Drosophila melanogaster: one gene and its partner. The protein of the gene in region 1 interacts with the protein of each later gene in a pairwise test. Each region holds a gene or a part of one and is shown on either strand. Other genes may lie near its edges.

The links. Proteins that work in one complex are often made in the same cells at the same time.
Region 2: the proteins of Gld2 (region 1) and eIF4E5 interact in a two-hybrid assay, tested with the Drosophila melanogaster proteins (one large-scale study listed by BioGRID).

What each region holds. Positions count from the first base shown.
Region 1 is NT_033777.3:22,208,475-22,219,486, forward strand, and holds Gld2 (GLD2 poly(A) polymerase), read left to right. Parts: upstream 1-3,349; 5' UTR 3,350-3,547; intron 3,548-3,610; 5' UTR 3,611-3,815; coding exon 3,816-6,455; intron 6,456-6,705; coding exon 6,706-6,972; intron 6,973-7,034; coding exon 7,035-8,222; 3' UTR 8,223-8,941; downstream 8,942-11,012. UniProt on the Drosophila melanogaster protein: Cytoplasmic poly(A) RNA polymerase that adds successive AMP monomers to the 3'-end of specific RNAs, forming a poly(A) tail. In contrast to the canonical nuclear poly(A) RNA polymerase, it only adds poly(A) to selected cytoplasmic mRNAs.
Region 2 is NT_037436.4:7,891,803-7,898,225, forward strand, and holds eIF4E5 (eukaryotic translation initiation factor 4E5), read left to right. Parts: upstream 1-3,077; 5' UTR 3,078-3,236; coding exon 3,237-3,586; intron 3,587-3,643; coding exon 3,644-3,831; intron 3,832-3,884; coding exon 3,885-4,045; 3' UTR 4,046-4,207; downstream 4,208-6,423. Other genes in the region: CG32365 (uncharacterized protein), read left to right, coding at 1,433-1,770, 1,843-2,692; pbl (pebble), read right to left, coding at 4,922-5,050, 5,110-5,259, 5,320-5,430, 5,496-6,423.

The sequences.
Region 1 (11,012 bases):
AACAAAGCTGATATCTTTGGCCAAAATAAATCTTTTCATTAAACCCGCCTCTATTTTTCAATACTATGTGTTTTTTTTTTTTCATCCATTGCCTTAACATTGTATATTCAATTTAATCCGCTTCCTTGTTTACTGAAATCTAGCTCGCATAATTAAAAGTGAAAAACGAGGGAAAATGAAAACGCTCGCCTATTTCCTGTCGCCCAGCAATGCAATTTTCACTTTTTTCCGCCGTGTCGCTCCGTTTACTCATTTTGTCAAATAGCCTCAAGGCGGAAAAGCCAGTTGGTAGTTGGAAGTTGGCAGGAGGGCAGGGCAAACTTTCGAAATTTAACGCCGGTCACAATGGGGCAGCAACCCACCCGAAGGTATCGCCAACTGCCAGCCGCAGTGGCGGAGAACAATTACTACGGGTTTTTCGCTTTTTCGGTCTTATGCAAACAGGAAACGCATAATGAACAAAGTCCGAACGAGGAGCTCAGCTCAGGAGTCACTCACTCGCTTTCGCCCTGGAGTATCGAGAATGGAGAATGGAGCACGCGACTCCATGCCCGGACAAGCAACTCCGGCTCCTGGCCGGCATTCATTCATTCATTTTTGAGCGGTTTCGTGGTTAACAACCGCTTCCTTATCCTTATTATTTTAATGCCTGCGGCAGCATTCCATCTTACTTACATTTTTCTCCACGCCGTGTTGTGGCTTAAATATTTTAACTACTGCCAGAGCTACTAGTTGGCTGGCTGTCTGTCTGTCTGGTTGTCTGGGCCGGGTCTTGGTCTTTGTGCCCGTAATTGGGGTTAACTGCGTTCAGCAGGTGAGCCGGTGAGGAGACGCCACCATTGTGTGTTAAAGTGTGCCAAAAGGAAAAGTACAATTTTCTGCCGCACTCATAAATTGTCCGTGCTGGAGTTTAAATTTTGTTTTCCATTTCATTTTCCTTTTCTAGCTTGCGGGCGAGCAATTAACTGCAATTGAAAGTAAAATTGAATTGAAATTTGTTGTGTTCCTAAAATGTACGGTGTGTTTTTGACAGAGTGTTAGAGTTGACACGCATGTTGAGAAAATTCAATTAAAAATTTCACTGCAATCGGTAGGTCCGCTGTCTGTCTTTCGGTTTTTCGCCAACTCATCGTCGATTCAGTTGATAATTATTTTTACGCGCCGAGTTGCAGGGTAAAGTGCATTAAAAATGCAAATGGCGACACTTTGCCACTTTGATGCCAGTGTTGTCACGTTTCCCGTTTTATTAATTTATTAAATTAAAAACAACGCAAAAGGAGGCAACTGCGCACCGCCGTCTCCACTCTGGCATGTGTAATTGTAAATTTATGAGCGTGCCACAAATAAAAAGGAGGCACCAGTACTACACAGTACTACAGCGCAAAAAAAAAAGGACCAACGAGTTCAACTGGGGCGCACTGTCAATCGTGTTGCATGAATTATTAATTATTTGCTTTTCGCACACACATCCCGATAAAGGGACGGCGATTCATGCCACAGATACAAAAATATGCCGCGGCACTGTTGCAATGCGGCAATCGGCTGTCAACTCCGCCACTTTGACAAGGGAAACACTAATAAAATTATTAACCAAAATGGCAAAAACACAAAAAAAAAAAAAAACAAAAGGAATTCGTTACGTCGTCACTGATTGGCAATAAAAAAGAGAAACCGAAATTAGTTTAATCTAATTACCTGCCACGCTTTATTGTCCTTAGCGCAACGAAATGGATTTTCGAATATAAAAAGTCAATGTCTAGGATTTTTCCAGGGTCGTACAAAAAATGAAAAGTACGTATTTTGGGTGGGTAAGAAATGTGAGCATCCAACCCCGGGGACTCACAGCTCTCCACCCCTGGCCGCTGCCTTATTTATCCTGCGTTTTCCCCCGGGGACACGGGCCATGGCATTTTTCTTGGCTCTCTGTGAATTATTCAGACCTTCAATCGATGACTGGCTGCCCGAGCATCTTCATTGCATAGTACATATATACATTCATATATATATATATATATATATATACAGCACACGCCTCCCGCCCCCTTTTTTTATATCCCTCAGTGCTGCTGACAGTTTATTTGCCAAATTGCTTGCATGTAATATGAAACTTTTTTTTTGCCCATTTCTGTTTCGAGGCTAATTTTTAGTTCGGCAAAGGGATCTCAAAAAAAAAGTGTCTTTGGGTGTGTGCTAAATCGAAAATCTGTAACACGCGTCACACAGCATTAAATGAGAAGGATGTTTTATGAGGCGGAGGGGGTTAGTCCCCTAATATGGCATGACTCAACCGAATTCCACGTAGAATTTTATGACAGAGAAACGAATTTTTGTTGGTTTATCTCTTCACTTGACTATATACACTGTGAGAAAGCTTATGCTAACCTTGCTGTCCACACCTTTCCATTTATAATAGTTTTAAATATACATTTTTGACAATATGGCCAAACTTGAATCACCATGTAAACTGTTTTCTAAGTGTACCTGCCGCACCCCATTGTTCTGCCACTGACCATAATTCACTGAAAGTTTTAAATTTGAAAATCTGGCCCTGAGAAAGGGGCATAATGCAGGCACAGCACAGTTATTGTTGCGTTATAAATCTAATTAGAATATGTGAGCGTTTCGGGGCCCGTATCTGAATATGCACGTAGACTAAACCAATTCCATTCATCCTCCGTCCCCCCTCTTCAATGGGCTCATTTCATATGCTCACCGCATCTGGCCGCATCTGAAAATTGCCAATGGCGCCGTTGCGTCTGGGGTAATAAATTTGATTTGTTTCAAATTACAGAAGAACGCAATTTCTTCTCCTTCACCATCTTTCGGTTGCATTTTTTCGGCTGAGCCGGCAAATCGAATTGAATTTTTGAATCCTTGAAACTGCGGTTGCTTTTTGTGGGTAATCTTCATAATTTACATAAGCAAATCAAATTGTAAACGTAATATGAAGACAATGGAAGCGAGCGGAAAAAGGAGTCTGAGCTCAGCTTTGAATGGAACTATGTTAAGTGGATGGCGCAGATTTTCTCTTTTTATTTTCTTCTTGTTTTTAGAAATGTGTCAGCTTTTTCCGAAAGCCTTCTTTGTTTTAGTCAATGTGGCGTAGGGGAAATTTAGCTCAAGTGGTAAGTGGAGAAAGTTAAAAGGATTGCCACCCAGAAAGAAAGAGTGTGAATACTTTGAAGTGAAAGTGTCCAATAAGTGTGCCACTTGTGCATTTTTTTTTTTTTGCCCAACACTAGAAAACAATCGATTTTCAGTGTGACATTAGACGCACTTACCAATACTTTTGGCCAGATTCCTATCGAATTAGGAATGACGAGCACTTTTTTTTACTTGTACTAACCGTGAACAATCCTAGTGAAAATCGTGTTAAATTTCTGTACCAACTGTGTTTGCCATCTGAAAACGTGGATATTTTTTGTAACAACGGACCACGAAATAGGCGAATGTTATCTACTCAAAAACTAAAATTGCGGAAGCAAAACAAATTATTGTAGATCCCAGGCATTAAACATAATGAAGCCCTTAAAACCGGACCATTAAGGTATGAGGAATGCGATAGCACTTGTAATATATATTCCCTCATGTGGGTCTCTGGCTTTTCCAGAGCTCTCGTTTCCAATTGCCCATCTAAGAGCCCGAAATTTCGAGGCTCCTTGTCTGGCCTTCAGTTTGCTGTCAACTCTTTGCATACTAGGAGTGACAGATTGAGGTACCGGACACACAACATATTCTTTAGCAATCTGCGTTTGCGTACGCACATATATATAGATATATGTCGTTTGGCTCGTGATTAGGCCGTATCGGTAGCTATGTCCACTGCAATGGCAATGGCAGCAGCGGCATCGTCGAGTGCCGCGGCAGCAACAGCAACAACAACGGCCATTAGCAACTCCACAAACACTACAGCGTCACCGGCAACAACAAACACCATAAACACCACCACGAAGACCATAACGACATCAGAGGTGCCACTGGAACCAGCTTCAAATATGGCTCCCAAAGCACTCGAAATCGAAGATTCTGGAAGGAATGAGCCCGAAGATTTGGAGCATGGTGCTGCGAAACCACTCGAGCAGCGCAAAACGACAGTGGTGCACACCTGTCCCCGTCCACCGGGTGGCTACAAGTACTCTATGGAGTTTCTCTACGGGATCGGCAGTGGCATGGCCGGCATACCACTGAATATACCAACGCCCTCATCGATAACACCTCGCACCGTACGATCCACGGCCCCCTTACTAACCACCCACATGCCTTTGCTGACCAATATGGGCGTGGCACCATCACGTCCGTCAGGCATTCGCTACCCAGGATCTGCTGGAGGCTCAAACGGTACCACGGTAGCAGCATCCACGACACCATCCACTACAGTTACAACATCAAGTGGCTCTCCGGGATCGGGAGCCGAGGCAATAACAAGTTCAGTTTCATCTAGTGGCTTGCCAGCAGCGGGCTTGCAAGCTGCTCAGTTCATATGCCAGGGATATATGCCCACTGGACCGCAGCGTCGCTTGTGGCACGCAGAAAACGCAGTGTGGCAGTTTGATAGAAATTATCCTTACAATCAGGCATACTCACCGCCATATGGAATACCCATGATGCCAGTGGGCTTTGAGCATCCGTATGGGCAGAGAATAATATACCCGGGCTATTACAATCAGACTCCTCCGGGAATTAATCCTGCTGCGGTGGCGGGACTGACAAGAACTAATCGTCCGGTGACCCAACAGCCACATATACTGACTCAGCCAGCCGTGGGAACAACGGAAAGTAGCGAGGAAGCTCCAGCGACACTTGGAAACGCTCCGCAGGTGAGCAGCACGTGGCGTTACGGAAGACCAGGAACACACCGCGGACGACATGCGGTGCCCACTGCAGCAGCACCAGCTTTGTTGCACAGAGATTCTAAGAGTTTTTACAACAGCATCGGCAGTGGTATGGCTAACGGTCCTCGATTTAAAGCACCCTTTGTGGCAAATGTACGTAATTTTCAAGCAGGAGCTGTAGCAACTGTCGCAGCCGGAGGAGCCGCAACCACAGCAGTAGTGGGCACAAGTGCACCTGCAACTGGAGCAGCTAGCTCCAGCGATCAGAACGTGGCCACCAAACGCAACCATCAAGGAGCTGCGACCCAAAATAATCACAGAAATCGTCACAATGCCAAAAAAGGAGGCAAGAATTCGGTTGGAAAAGAGCTGACATCCAACTCATCAGAATCGCTTTCCAATTCATCCTCAAAGTCCCAGCTAAACAAGCGTCCCAGCTCGAGCTCCTCTATTTCACCAATCAAGCATCCACATCGCAATTATAGAAACCGGATGCGTTATACTGCAACAGAGCCAACTGAGCAAAAGGCGGCGACCACGACCGTTCCAATAAGTAACTACCAGCCACCGCAGCAATCGACATCAACAGTGCGAAGAACTTCTAAGTTCCAAGGATCAAATGCCTATCAAGCACATACTGCTGCCGGTAGGCAACAGTCTCGTTTCTACCAATCGCGACACATGGATGGCTATGTCTTTCAATCTGGACACTATATGGTATATGCAGCGGGAGCACCGCCTGTGGGGTTAAGACCAGGAAAATCACCAGTGTCAGAAGCCACCGGGGCACCTCCTGGAGCAGCAGCAGCAACAGCAGCAGCAGCAACAGCAGTAGCAGCAACAGCAGCAGCAGCAGAAGGTGGAGGAGCAGCAGAGGGTGGAGGAGCAGCAGCAGCTCCAGTCACAGCCAGCAGCGCCACTTTGGAGGGCGAGCAGCCGCTGGACTCGGACTTTGATCAGCGCCAGGAATTTGCTGACTTGGGTCTGGATCCAGCCAATGGCGGCTTCTCCTCCGACCTGGAGCCGAACGGTATCAAGCAGGACACCTCGGAGCTGGACACTCACTCGTGCCTGATATCGCATCCAAATTCCGAAGTCGATGGCGATGATAATCAATCCCTCGCCAGTTTTGCTCCTAGTGTGGAGAGCGATGATTCCGATAGTGAACTAAGCGATGCTTCCGTGGAGTCGGTGGCGCGCGATATATTGGTTAGTTGCCTAGCAGTGGCCACCGGGGCTGAGGAGCCCGATTTCAGTGGCCCCAATCTGGTGCCCTACGGTGATATGCATTATCTCAAGGAGCTGGACAAAAAGAACCCCCCAACCAATGGCTACAGATCCCACAGGCCATATCATCAGTCGCATTATGCTTACCATTCGCAAATGAGTCCAAGAGGATTGAGCTGCTGCGGCGATATGTTGAATCAACACTCTGAAGATTTGGTGTTTAAATTGGACCAAAATCAGCCGGATGGCATTGAAAGTGGGAAGAACATTTTCTTGAGGGAGATAACCGAGCAGCCTGACAACATCTCGGTGGCCTCAAATCTCTCCTGCAGTCCATCTGCCAGTTCCAGCAAGAGTGTATTGGCTCCCATGGCATCCAAGTCCAACATTACAATGGTAGGTGAACTCAAAAATGTACTTCTTAATGGGCAAATTACCAAGTTTATTTCTTCGAAAAGTTATTTTTTCCTTTCGTCTGTTTGTCTGATAGTTCACTTTATAAGATTTACAAAATAAAATCTTGCATTATTTTTTTTCAAGAAATAAATGTGGAAATGTCCCTTAATACATTTTGTTGGCAAAAAAAAAAAACTTCCGCACCTTTGGCAAATTTGTTCATTCCACACTCTTATCCTAATCCCCAAAGCCAGAAGAAAACAATGATGATGATGAACTGCCCTTAGTGGTTCACAATCGTTATTGGCGCGAATTCTTTGGTTACACGCCAGCCGATCGCTTTTTACTCCGAGCCAAGTTTGTGGAAATGAGACGTCCACCGAAAGTGATGGGCTGCAAGAACAAGTGGGACCCCTTATCCCTGTCCGTTTGGAAGAAGTTCCTCGAGTCTCAGCAGACACGTCACGTTTACAAGATCAAGATGCGACTGTGGCGTGCCATCTACACAGTGGCCATGGTGAGTTCCGTTGGGAGTATTTAGTAAAATGCAATAGTTTTCAACTAAATTACGCTTTACAGAAAAACTATCCAAGATACGGGCTTTATTTGGTGGGCTCATCCATTTCGTACTTTGGTTCGAAGTGCTCGGACATGGATATTTGCATGCTGGCCTGCACAAATCCTAACATTGATTCTCGCATGGAGGCCGTCTATCATTTGCATGTTATGAAGGAGCTGCTGGGCCGCACGAATATGTTTCAGGATTTCAATTTGATCGAAGCACGAGTGCCAATACTGCGATTCACCGACCGATGCCATAAAGTGGAGGTGGACATAAACTTTAATAACTCCGTTGGGATCAGGAATACCCATCTTCTATACTGCTATTCCCAGCTAGATTGGCGAGTTCGTCCGATGGCATTGACCGTGAAGCAGTGGGCCCAGTATCACAACATTAACAATGCCAAGAACATGACCATATCGAGCTACTCGCTCATGCTAATGGTCATTCATTTCCTGCAGGTTGGAGCAAGTCCACCTGTGCTTCCATGTCTGCACAACTTATATCCGGAGAAGTTTGGTCTCCTGCAGCCCAACGATTTCGGTTATGTGGACATGAACGAGGTGATGGCTCCGTATCAGTCGGATAACAGCCAAACTCTAGGTGATTTGCTGTTGAGCTTCCTACACTACTACAGTGTATTTGATTACGGAAAGTATGCCATCTCGATACGGGTGGGTGGTGTCCTGCCCATAGAGGTGTGCCGGGCAGCCACTGCGCCCAAAAACGATATACACCAGTGGAACGAGCTGTGCATCGAAGAGCCATTCGATCAGACGAATACAGCTCGATCGGTGTATGATACGGATACATTTGAACGCATCAAAACCATCTTTGTGGCCAGCTACAGGAGACTGGATTCGACGAGGAATCTCAGTGCCATATTCGAGGACTACGATGGACCCACAATACTGATGCAGCAGCCATCGGTGGACTCAGAGATCGAACTCTACGAGGGTCAACACCACCGTTTGCTACCGAATCGAGGCTCCTCGAGATCCAACAGCGCAATACCATCGCCGCGTCCTTCAATACTAATGGTGGACAAAGCCACTACAGCCATTTGGGATGATATCAACAACAAACCAGATCACCCAGTATTAAGCCATAGCAACAACTATGATGCGACCAATGAATGTACTGGCAACGGCAGTCTGATGGGACTCAAGGATAACTCTGTGGCCGACAAGCCACCAATTGCGTAAAAACTCTCAATTAAACCAAAAACACTCGGCACGTTCAAGACATACTGAAAAGGCAAAGAAATATTTTTACGCGCTAATGAGGATGTGCTTTTTCCATAAGTTGCCGGACGCTTTTAAAACAATTTAAATTTGACGTTGGATAATTATATAAGTATAGTAGGAAAATAGCCGATTTTCAAATCACAACGTGAAGGGACCATGTAAATATGCCAAACGCCTATCTCAACACAAAGTCGGTCGCAAAAAAAACACAAATATCTGCTAAAAAGCAACAAACTGTTTCAAATGTTTGCGTACCAAAACGGCTAAAGTTGTTTTCACAAGCTTCATAGCAAGACAATTGCAAAACAAAAAAAAAAAAAAGAAAGGAAAAAAAAAATCATAGCGTGCAAGAAAATAATAAAAATGGCAAAAAAATTACAAAATTTAAAAATCTAAAAAAAATATCAGTTTTGTACAGTGTAGGAAAGCTAACATTTTATTACTACACAATTCATAAGATTTGTACGGGAATAGGTTTTTACCAAAAACTATTAAAAAACACAGAAAACTTCACAAAAAAACACGTAAAACATGAAATATGTAACACAAAAAAAACGACAAAAATTTTGTAACTAAATAATAGAAAATGTAAAATACGCGCCAATCTTCAAAAAAGCTTACGAGTTAAACAGTTGAGTTACTAACTCAACCAAGAACATAAATATAATGATAGCGCCAAAAAAAAATTATATAAATAAAATCCTTTGCCAAAATGTCGTTCGTTACTAAAATTAGTTATTTTAAATGCTAATAATATCTTAGTTTTCCACCAAACAGCATACAGCAGTATTCTTCCTTCATACATGTGCATAAATCAACCCAATGAAATCATCCATCATCCAGCTATTAAGTCCCGAATCCGAATCCGATCCCAATCTCCATGCCTTCATTTCAACACTTGGTCTCGACTCTCTGGGGTCTCGAACTATATGCGAATGAAATTATTTAGGATGCTCAATTTGATATTCCGTTCTGATTAATTCTTAGTGGTTGCCGTCATCATCGAATATCACCCTTGGGACAGACACTCTACTCTCCTCCGGATGGCCGAAATTCTCGCACATGTTTCAGTTTGGCAATTATCTAAGGAAATCAAATCAAATCATTGATGCAGCTGTTACGCCATAGATATATATAGTAGATAGATAGATGAGCACGGTGGTAGCTGATGTACAATGAAGGAGGGGGCGTGGCAATAGTCCTGGCATTTGGCGTCCATCGACAACTCTGTTACCATCTGCATCTGTTTCGGCCTGTCGGCCCGTGCCCAGTATCGATGGCAACCAAAAATGTCAGCGCAGCAAATTATTTCATCAATTGCAATGCTCGATTTCAGGAGGTGCAGTCCCACACAATCGATGGCCGATGGCTGTGCGTTTTCGGGGTTGAATGGGTGATATGTTGGGTAATTGATATAATGCCGATGGTTCCTGTCGTCGCCCACCTAATGGCGAAAATTGTCAACGGGATTTGGTTTGGGATTTCGGATTGCAATTGGGTGGCTGGCTGGCTTGGTGACTGGGTGGTTTTCGTATTGGATTGGTTTGCCTGTAATGCAGCGATGTCAGCGTCGGCAGCTTCATAATCATCATCATCATCATCATTACCGCAGCCGAACAATTGTCACACTAATTTGTGCATATGTGCAAAAATGTTTGGCAATTAAACGGCGAAGCGCTGCCAGCAGCCAGAGTCTCCCTCGACTCAACCATTTTTCATTCAGCCAAGTAATTAATGTCTTTTGTTAATGGTAATGCATTTGCATTCGCAATTGGAATTATACCCCAATCCAATCCAAGGGCTAAGACAATTTGCACAACAAAGGGCGCGTTGGTCTGCTCGGTGGAATGCTAGAGATGAACTTCATTAAAATTTTGCACGGAACGGAAAAATTTGTGGCACGGCAAGAGGGGCGGGAAAAAATAGAGAGCAGCAGCTGGTGCATTAAAATTCCTGTCCGGGATTTGGTCTTTGGTCTTGAATAATTATTCATTGTCATTGTAATTGGCGTGCCAGGCGCTAAATGGAATCATAAGGGGGAAAAGTCGAGGAAGCTTCGGTTGACAATTTTCATTTTTCCACCATAGCCGGCAAATTGAAGTTGCTCGATTACTTGGACACTTTTCTTCGGCTTTTTTCATCTTGTTCACTTTTTGTTTTTATTTTTTTTTTGTGCCTCCCACATGAGAGGTTTTCCTTTTTGTCTCGTCGAGCGGAGAAAGAGCGATTACTCCCCATGGATCTCGGGATCGGGATTGGGATTGGGATTGGGATTGGGTTTTCGGTCTTGGCTTTTATATTGTTTGGGACACGTACGGGAGTTTTCATTCGATGTCATTTCAATTTTCCTCTGCTCCTTTTTTATGGACGCACAGAGACAAAAAGGGTTCGATTCGGTTTGGTTTGGTATGGATTGGAAAAGATGCAGCAGCCAACACACAAGGACTCGACATGGGATTGCGTTTCTATGTCTCTGGGCCTTTGTTTCCTCGTTGGTCACTGAGCAACAAATTACCTGAGGCAGGTGGACAGGACAACTGAATAAGAGAGTTAACTGAACGAGTCGAGTGAATGAATAAATGAATGAGTGCCCAAGTGGGCGGGGTAGTGTGTGATGTGATGTGAGTTGAGTGACTCCTGATTGAGTTGGGCCACTGCAAGTGCTGCCTTATTTAAATGAACCTCAAATGCCCTTAATGCAATTTAGTTTTTCAAAAAACAGCTTACTACATTTTTGCCCATATTTGT
Region 2 (6,423 bases), on another chromosome or scaffold:
AAAAAAAACATGAAAATAATAAGAAAAGATAAATATTTTCTGTAGCTTGGTCCGTTTCTTGTTTGGCGAACGGAAAACTGGGTTAGAAGGCAGGAAAACCGCGATGGAAAAACATTTTGGCCATTATAAATGAAAAGAAAAACCATGCAGGCGTGGGTGGAACCCTGGCGAGATTGATTGATTGATTGATTGAGTAGACGATGCAGTCGATGGGAGGGAACCGCATTTAATTTATGCACCGGTAAGATCCCAGACTAAACCGACCGGTGTAGCCAGGAAATGCGTTCAATGGGAAGCTGCTGGCAGGCCAAGCGAGTCCGAATCGGAATCGGAAAAATTCGTACCCGAATCCTCTCAGCTCCAATTGCTCGACGATGGCTAAAAACACTTTGGGCATTAATGAAATTAAACAAAGCATAACAAAATCGAAATCAAATACAGCAGCAGCAGCAGCAGCAGTGCGCGCCGGCAACAATTTCCACATCATTTTCAAATAAATCTCAGACACACGAAAACAATTCGTAATTCGAATGAAAACCTCTGGCGAACACGCAGTAGGAAAACCTCCGAAAACGGAAAAACGTCCAATGAAAAATTAGCAACAATTTCCAAGCGTTGCAATAGCAATAGCAACGACTGCATCGCCAACTTACATAATCAGCCAGACACCAACTATTTTGGCATCGTGTGAAGCCTCCCCAAAAAACCAGCAGATATACACACATATATATGTACATATAAACTGCATGCCCACCCGTTTTGGCCAAATTTCAAATGGCCCGGGAGGTGGGCGTGTGCCTGCCTGCCAGGTGATGGCAATCGGCAATCTTAACGCCTTTTTGAGGTCTCTGCCAATTTGGCAAGCGCCATAGACTCGAATGGCATTTGATAATTAGACAATTTGGCCCACAGAAGTTAACCAAAAGCGACATTCCCCCCCAATCAACTTGGCCAATGATGCTGATATGGCCCAAAGACCCACAGCACAATGAAGTAGAGAAATGCGCGCAGAGTAAAGGGGCGCGATAAAAAATCAAGTGAAAGTTTTTATAGGCTGATGATGATGCTGATGCCGATGCTGCTGCTCTACAAATGTTTGCTGCCAAGCAAAATCATTTACAATTAACATAAATAATAAATTAAAGTCATCGGTTCAAATGCATTATCAATGTGTCAAAGCAATGACCTGGCACATTGGAGCAAAGCTGTAAGTTTTGGAGGGGAAATACAAGCTGAGTTAGCCGGAGAAAGGTCGATTGAATGAGATTTACATGAAGAGCTGAAAGCTCACCTAAAATATGGGCCACACGTTTCTAAAGTTACATTCCCAAAGAAAGATACAATATCTATCTAATCTATCTTCATTATGCGTAAAAACTACCACTTATCAATCCCTAAGTATTCTAAATCACTTTATAATCCTAAATTTCAGACCGAAACCAATTGCGAGATGTACCGAGCGGTGATGGAGGAGGTGGCCCGCTTCTTTGAGCGCTACCAGTTGCAGCAACAACTCCAGCAGACCCAACGCAATGGAGAGCAGATTGCCCGCTCCAAGAGTCTGCATCATGTCCACGGAGTGGGCAACACCTCCCTGCAGAGCGATGCTCGGGATGATGACGCCTCCAGCGGCGGATCAGCTTCATATCTACGCGCCCGGAGCAGCACCAATTTGATGTTGAATAAATCAATGCATGCCATGGACGAGGAGCACAATTACGAGACGATTGCACCAGCTGGAAGCTATAATGCCTTCAAGGATTTTACATGGTAAGGGGAGATCAATAGCAGTGCTAATAATTTTCAAACAATTAATAACGAAATGTCTTCTCTCTGCCAAAGGCGTCGATCCCCGAAGAAGTCTGGAGGCAGTGGCGGTTGCAAGTCACGTCTATCGGCTCCTGAGGCAGCCGAGGAAAAGCTGAATCAGGAGGCCTTTCGTTTGGCCAGAACCATAAGGAATCTTTTGCACACCTCGGAACAGCAACCAGATCTCACGCAGCCGCGCCACTCGCTCGCTTCCATTTCATCGCTGCCCTCGGGAAATCACCGCCTATGCAAGGGGAAAACCAGTTCGGTGATGACACTACTGACGCCACCATTGCACAATTCCACCAGTATCATGAGTGCCACACTGGAGACTCCATCACCGGGCGGGAAATCAAATGCGGAACTCATCTTTCTGCGGGCCAACAACATGCGCGACTCGAGGCTATCGTTGCGCAGCTCCACCGACAGTTCCGTGCATTCCACCATCTCGTCGACGGCATCCTCCTCCTCGAAAGTGGAAACGGATGAGGAGACGCAGACACAGACCACCGCCAGCAACACAGCCATCAGCAATAGCAATAACAAAACCACCAGCAATAAGCAGAGCGGTTCCAGTACCGAGGATGAGAGTGGCTTCAGTTCGATTAGCTCCTTTCACGATGTCGGCTTGCCCCTGAGTTCCACCTTGATGAATGGAAACCAGCGACGCCTGTCCATGTCCTCGGACAGCAGGAACTCCACACTAAAGTCCGGATTAAATATGGTGGGGCTGCCCATGCAAAATCAGACTCAAGTTCAAGTACAGGTTCAAGCTCAGATATCAACCGCTCCATCGCCCTCGAAAACCTATCGCAATGCGAATCGCTACCAGCGCTTCTCCACTTTGTCCAACGAGGATGCAGCCGCTGTTTTATGGGTCTAGACGGGTGGATGATTCAAAACCAGCCTTGAGATAATTTATTAACGTATTTCTAAAAGAATTGAGAATCTTTTCAAATATGGTTACGAAAACCGTGTTTTTTTTTATTTTGAACACCCCGTAGCTGTTTCGATTTGTTTTCTCTAGTGCCTCCGCTTAGTGTTTAATTGACCATTGGAATAGAGTGCATACATTTTCATTTTGTATGTTATTATTTTTTTTTTTAAGGACCAAGCGCGCATTTCTATGTTAACAATATGTAAATTGATTTGTCTTAAGTTTTGCAGTATTTATAAATGAATAAAAATAATTTATATTAAAAGAAAAAACCAGCATAGTATGCTTACACCCAGGTGTCATTGTCATTTCATTTCCTTCTTTTCGACAGGTTTCGTTTAGGTCTAGAAAAATGTGCTAAAGTATTTTTGGTTATTAGTAAGCAATTCCCACTCGAATCGCGACAAAATTCGTTGAGAACACAGCCGTCAGCAAATAAATTAAGGTTACCTGTTCGTATCGAAAAAAAAAAAACAAGTCAACCAACAACATGGCCAGTGCACAAGTGCAAAGTTTTGATATTATGAAGCAGCAGGATCAGCAACATCAGCTGAATAGTATCCATAAGCATCATCATCACCACGAAGGTGTTCCACTGGAGAGCAATAGCCCAGAACCTATCGATGAAGAGATATACCAAGTCGAGTACAAGCATCCTTTGGAGCATGTGTGGACTTTGTGGTATTTGGAAAACGATCGCACCAAGCACTGGAAGGACATGCTAAACGAGATTACCGAGATTGACAGTGTGGAGACCTTCTGGAGCTTGTACCATACCATCAAGACCCCAGCGGAGCTGAAGATTGGATGCGATTACTCCGTGTTCAAGAAGGGCATAAAGTACGAATAAATCATTGTTCATTGAGAGATGCTAACTTAAATCCTCTACTCCCAAAGACCCATGTGGGAGGATGAAGCCAACATCAAGGGTGGTCGCTGGCTGGTCACCGTGAGTAAGAGTGCCAAAGCGGAATTGGATCAAATTTGGCTGGACATTCTACTGCTGATGGTGGGCCAAAATTTTGAATACTCCGACGAGATCTGCGGAGCTGTCATCAATATACGTAACAAGAGCAACAAAATCTGTAAGTTTATCAAATGTGTTCTGCACATTGATAAAAAACTGTATCTATTACAGCGGTTTGGACTGCCAACGGGAGTAACGAAATGGCCATTCTGGAGATCGGCCAGAAGCTGAAGATACTCCTTCATTTGCAATCGCATAGTTTGCAGTATCAACTTCATTCCGATGCAATGTCCAAATTCAATTCGGGCGTCAAATCGGTTTATACACTCTGAAAGCGATTGTTTAGGTCCTCTACGTTAGTATATTTTTATTTTTGTACACCAGATTCGTAAGTGTGGAAGATATGATTGGCTTGGTGTATATGAATATTTACTTGGAATTGCCCCTACAAAATTGTTCTATAGACTAAATTAAAAACCTAATTTTCTATGCGCAACAATTGCATCTTTTCGGGTGAGATTGTGGTAACTGTCGAAGTTTGTGTAATTCGTTGCCTACTTTGCAGCTTCAAAGCTAAGAATAAAAAATGCTTTGATTTAAAAATGTTTTCCTTTAATCATTGTTCATATATTAACTTAAACATCTTCATGCTTTGAACGCCTTACGACTTAGGGTCGTAATTGCCTACTCAAGCAAAATCGTTGAGTTATAATCAATATGGTAAGATAGGGTTTTTAAAAAATTTACTCAGTAAACATTCACAGCTTGTTGCGGTGTGGCGATCATCCGACCGAAAACCATCCGAATCGATCGTTCGGTGCGTGCGTGAATTCGATCCCTAGTCACTGCAATGAGTAGTTGATTACATTTAGCGACGCGACACAATTATACGGGCACGGGAGTACACATATGGAGAACTATTTACAAGTTAATCATGATCAATCGACAGCTCGGGCAAACGCTTCAACATTTGCGAGCCTTCCTATCGACAGGTGCAACTTAACAATACATTTTACAATCTAAACAATATTGGACGCTCGATAATTTGTTTCTGGTTGTGTTGTGAGATTACGAATTCGAAGCTTGTATATGCACTCGGACATGGGCGACCAATGCTCAAGGAATAGCACTGCAAGCGAGTCTCTCCAAAAAGAGACTTCCAAAATGGAATACACAATTTGACTGTGGAGTCATCATCATCATCAGCTCTAAATGCGGCCCACAACGGCCTTGTTTTTCCGCGTGGGTTGCACCGAAAGTGGCGGTACCACTAGCATCTCGGATTGTGTTGACGGCGAACTGCTTCGCATGCTTGCACAGTCCTCATCATCAACCTCCTATAAAAATATAATTATACATCAGTTTTTGTTCACATCGATGCTGTAGTTGTACACACATTTATATTCGTGCAGCTGGCCAAACGCATCTGGGCCAATTGAGAGGCAGGTGTTAGAGAGTTGGTGCTGCCAAACGGCGAAGTCATCATCGTGGATACGGCCCGTTTCAGTTTGTTGGGCGTTTTGTTAAAGGAGAAAGCACGACCCACCTAAAAGAACGAAAATTAGTATTAGAAAAGTTTTAAGCTGAAAAAGTTTTGAGGACCCACCTTGAGTCGCGTTTTGGCCGCCAGTTTAAAGGCTTTGCTGAGCGTGCTGACATTCACATCACTTATGTCCACCTCCAGTTCCTGGGAGGTGCGACAAATCAAAAGTTTGTCCTGCAAAACAAGAATAAGAACATGAATTTCAGAACATAAAACTATCTATGTATGCTACCACTTACCGCATCAGTACGGCAGGTGTGGGCTGCAATCTGGTTGCACAATTTCTTTACGTAGACCGACTTATCTGTCTCCTCATCACTGATCGTAAACGTATAGAGCTTCTCCTTATCGCCCCGCAAGAGCAAACCAAAAGCTCTTGGACTATCCGAGATGTCAATCACTAACCGGATCGTATTCAAAGATATCAGCTTGAGATGCTTATGCGTCTTGGCCGTGCTTGGCGATTTTGCAGTGTTGAATCCTTTAGAACGCCGCTTGCATAGCTCAATGGAATCGGAGAACAGGTACAGGACCAGGCTATCACCACGACCGCTCAGCGAATCGGAGAGCTCGTTCACCTCACACTTCAAAATAAAGCTGCGGTTGGAACTCACTAAATGCGCCGGACATCCTTCGATATCGTTGAATATATCGAAGATGGCCATGCGCGATTCGGTCCGCCTTTTATCCTCGTTGATGTGCAGTGTCACCTGCTTGATGGCCTTCAGAGCCTCCTCCAAACGTCCGTGGTCCGCATTGCCACTTGTCGTATGTTTCAATATATCATTTAGCAGCAGACTGATACTGGGCAATCGCTGAACTGGACGGATCATCAGATCTTGTAGACCTTGGCGTCCGCACTCCGGTTTCGTTTGATTAATCTTCAGAAAGGCGTGGAAACGCGGATATTCCCGATCGCAGTACTGCAGTTGCTCCTTCATCTGCTCGAAGAAGTTGACGTATGGTGGATACGCCTTTATCAGCTCGTCGCGATGTTGAATGATAATGTCTCCAATAAGACAATCCTCCCGCCAGTTAGCATGCAATTTCCGCAGATGCTCCAGCATGCTTTGGTGTACCTCGTGGATAGGCAGGAAGTTGCCAAAGATCGTCTTGATCTCCGACTTATTAAGCAGCGGATCATTGGTTTCAGCCAACTCTTCCAAC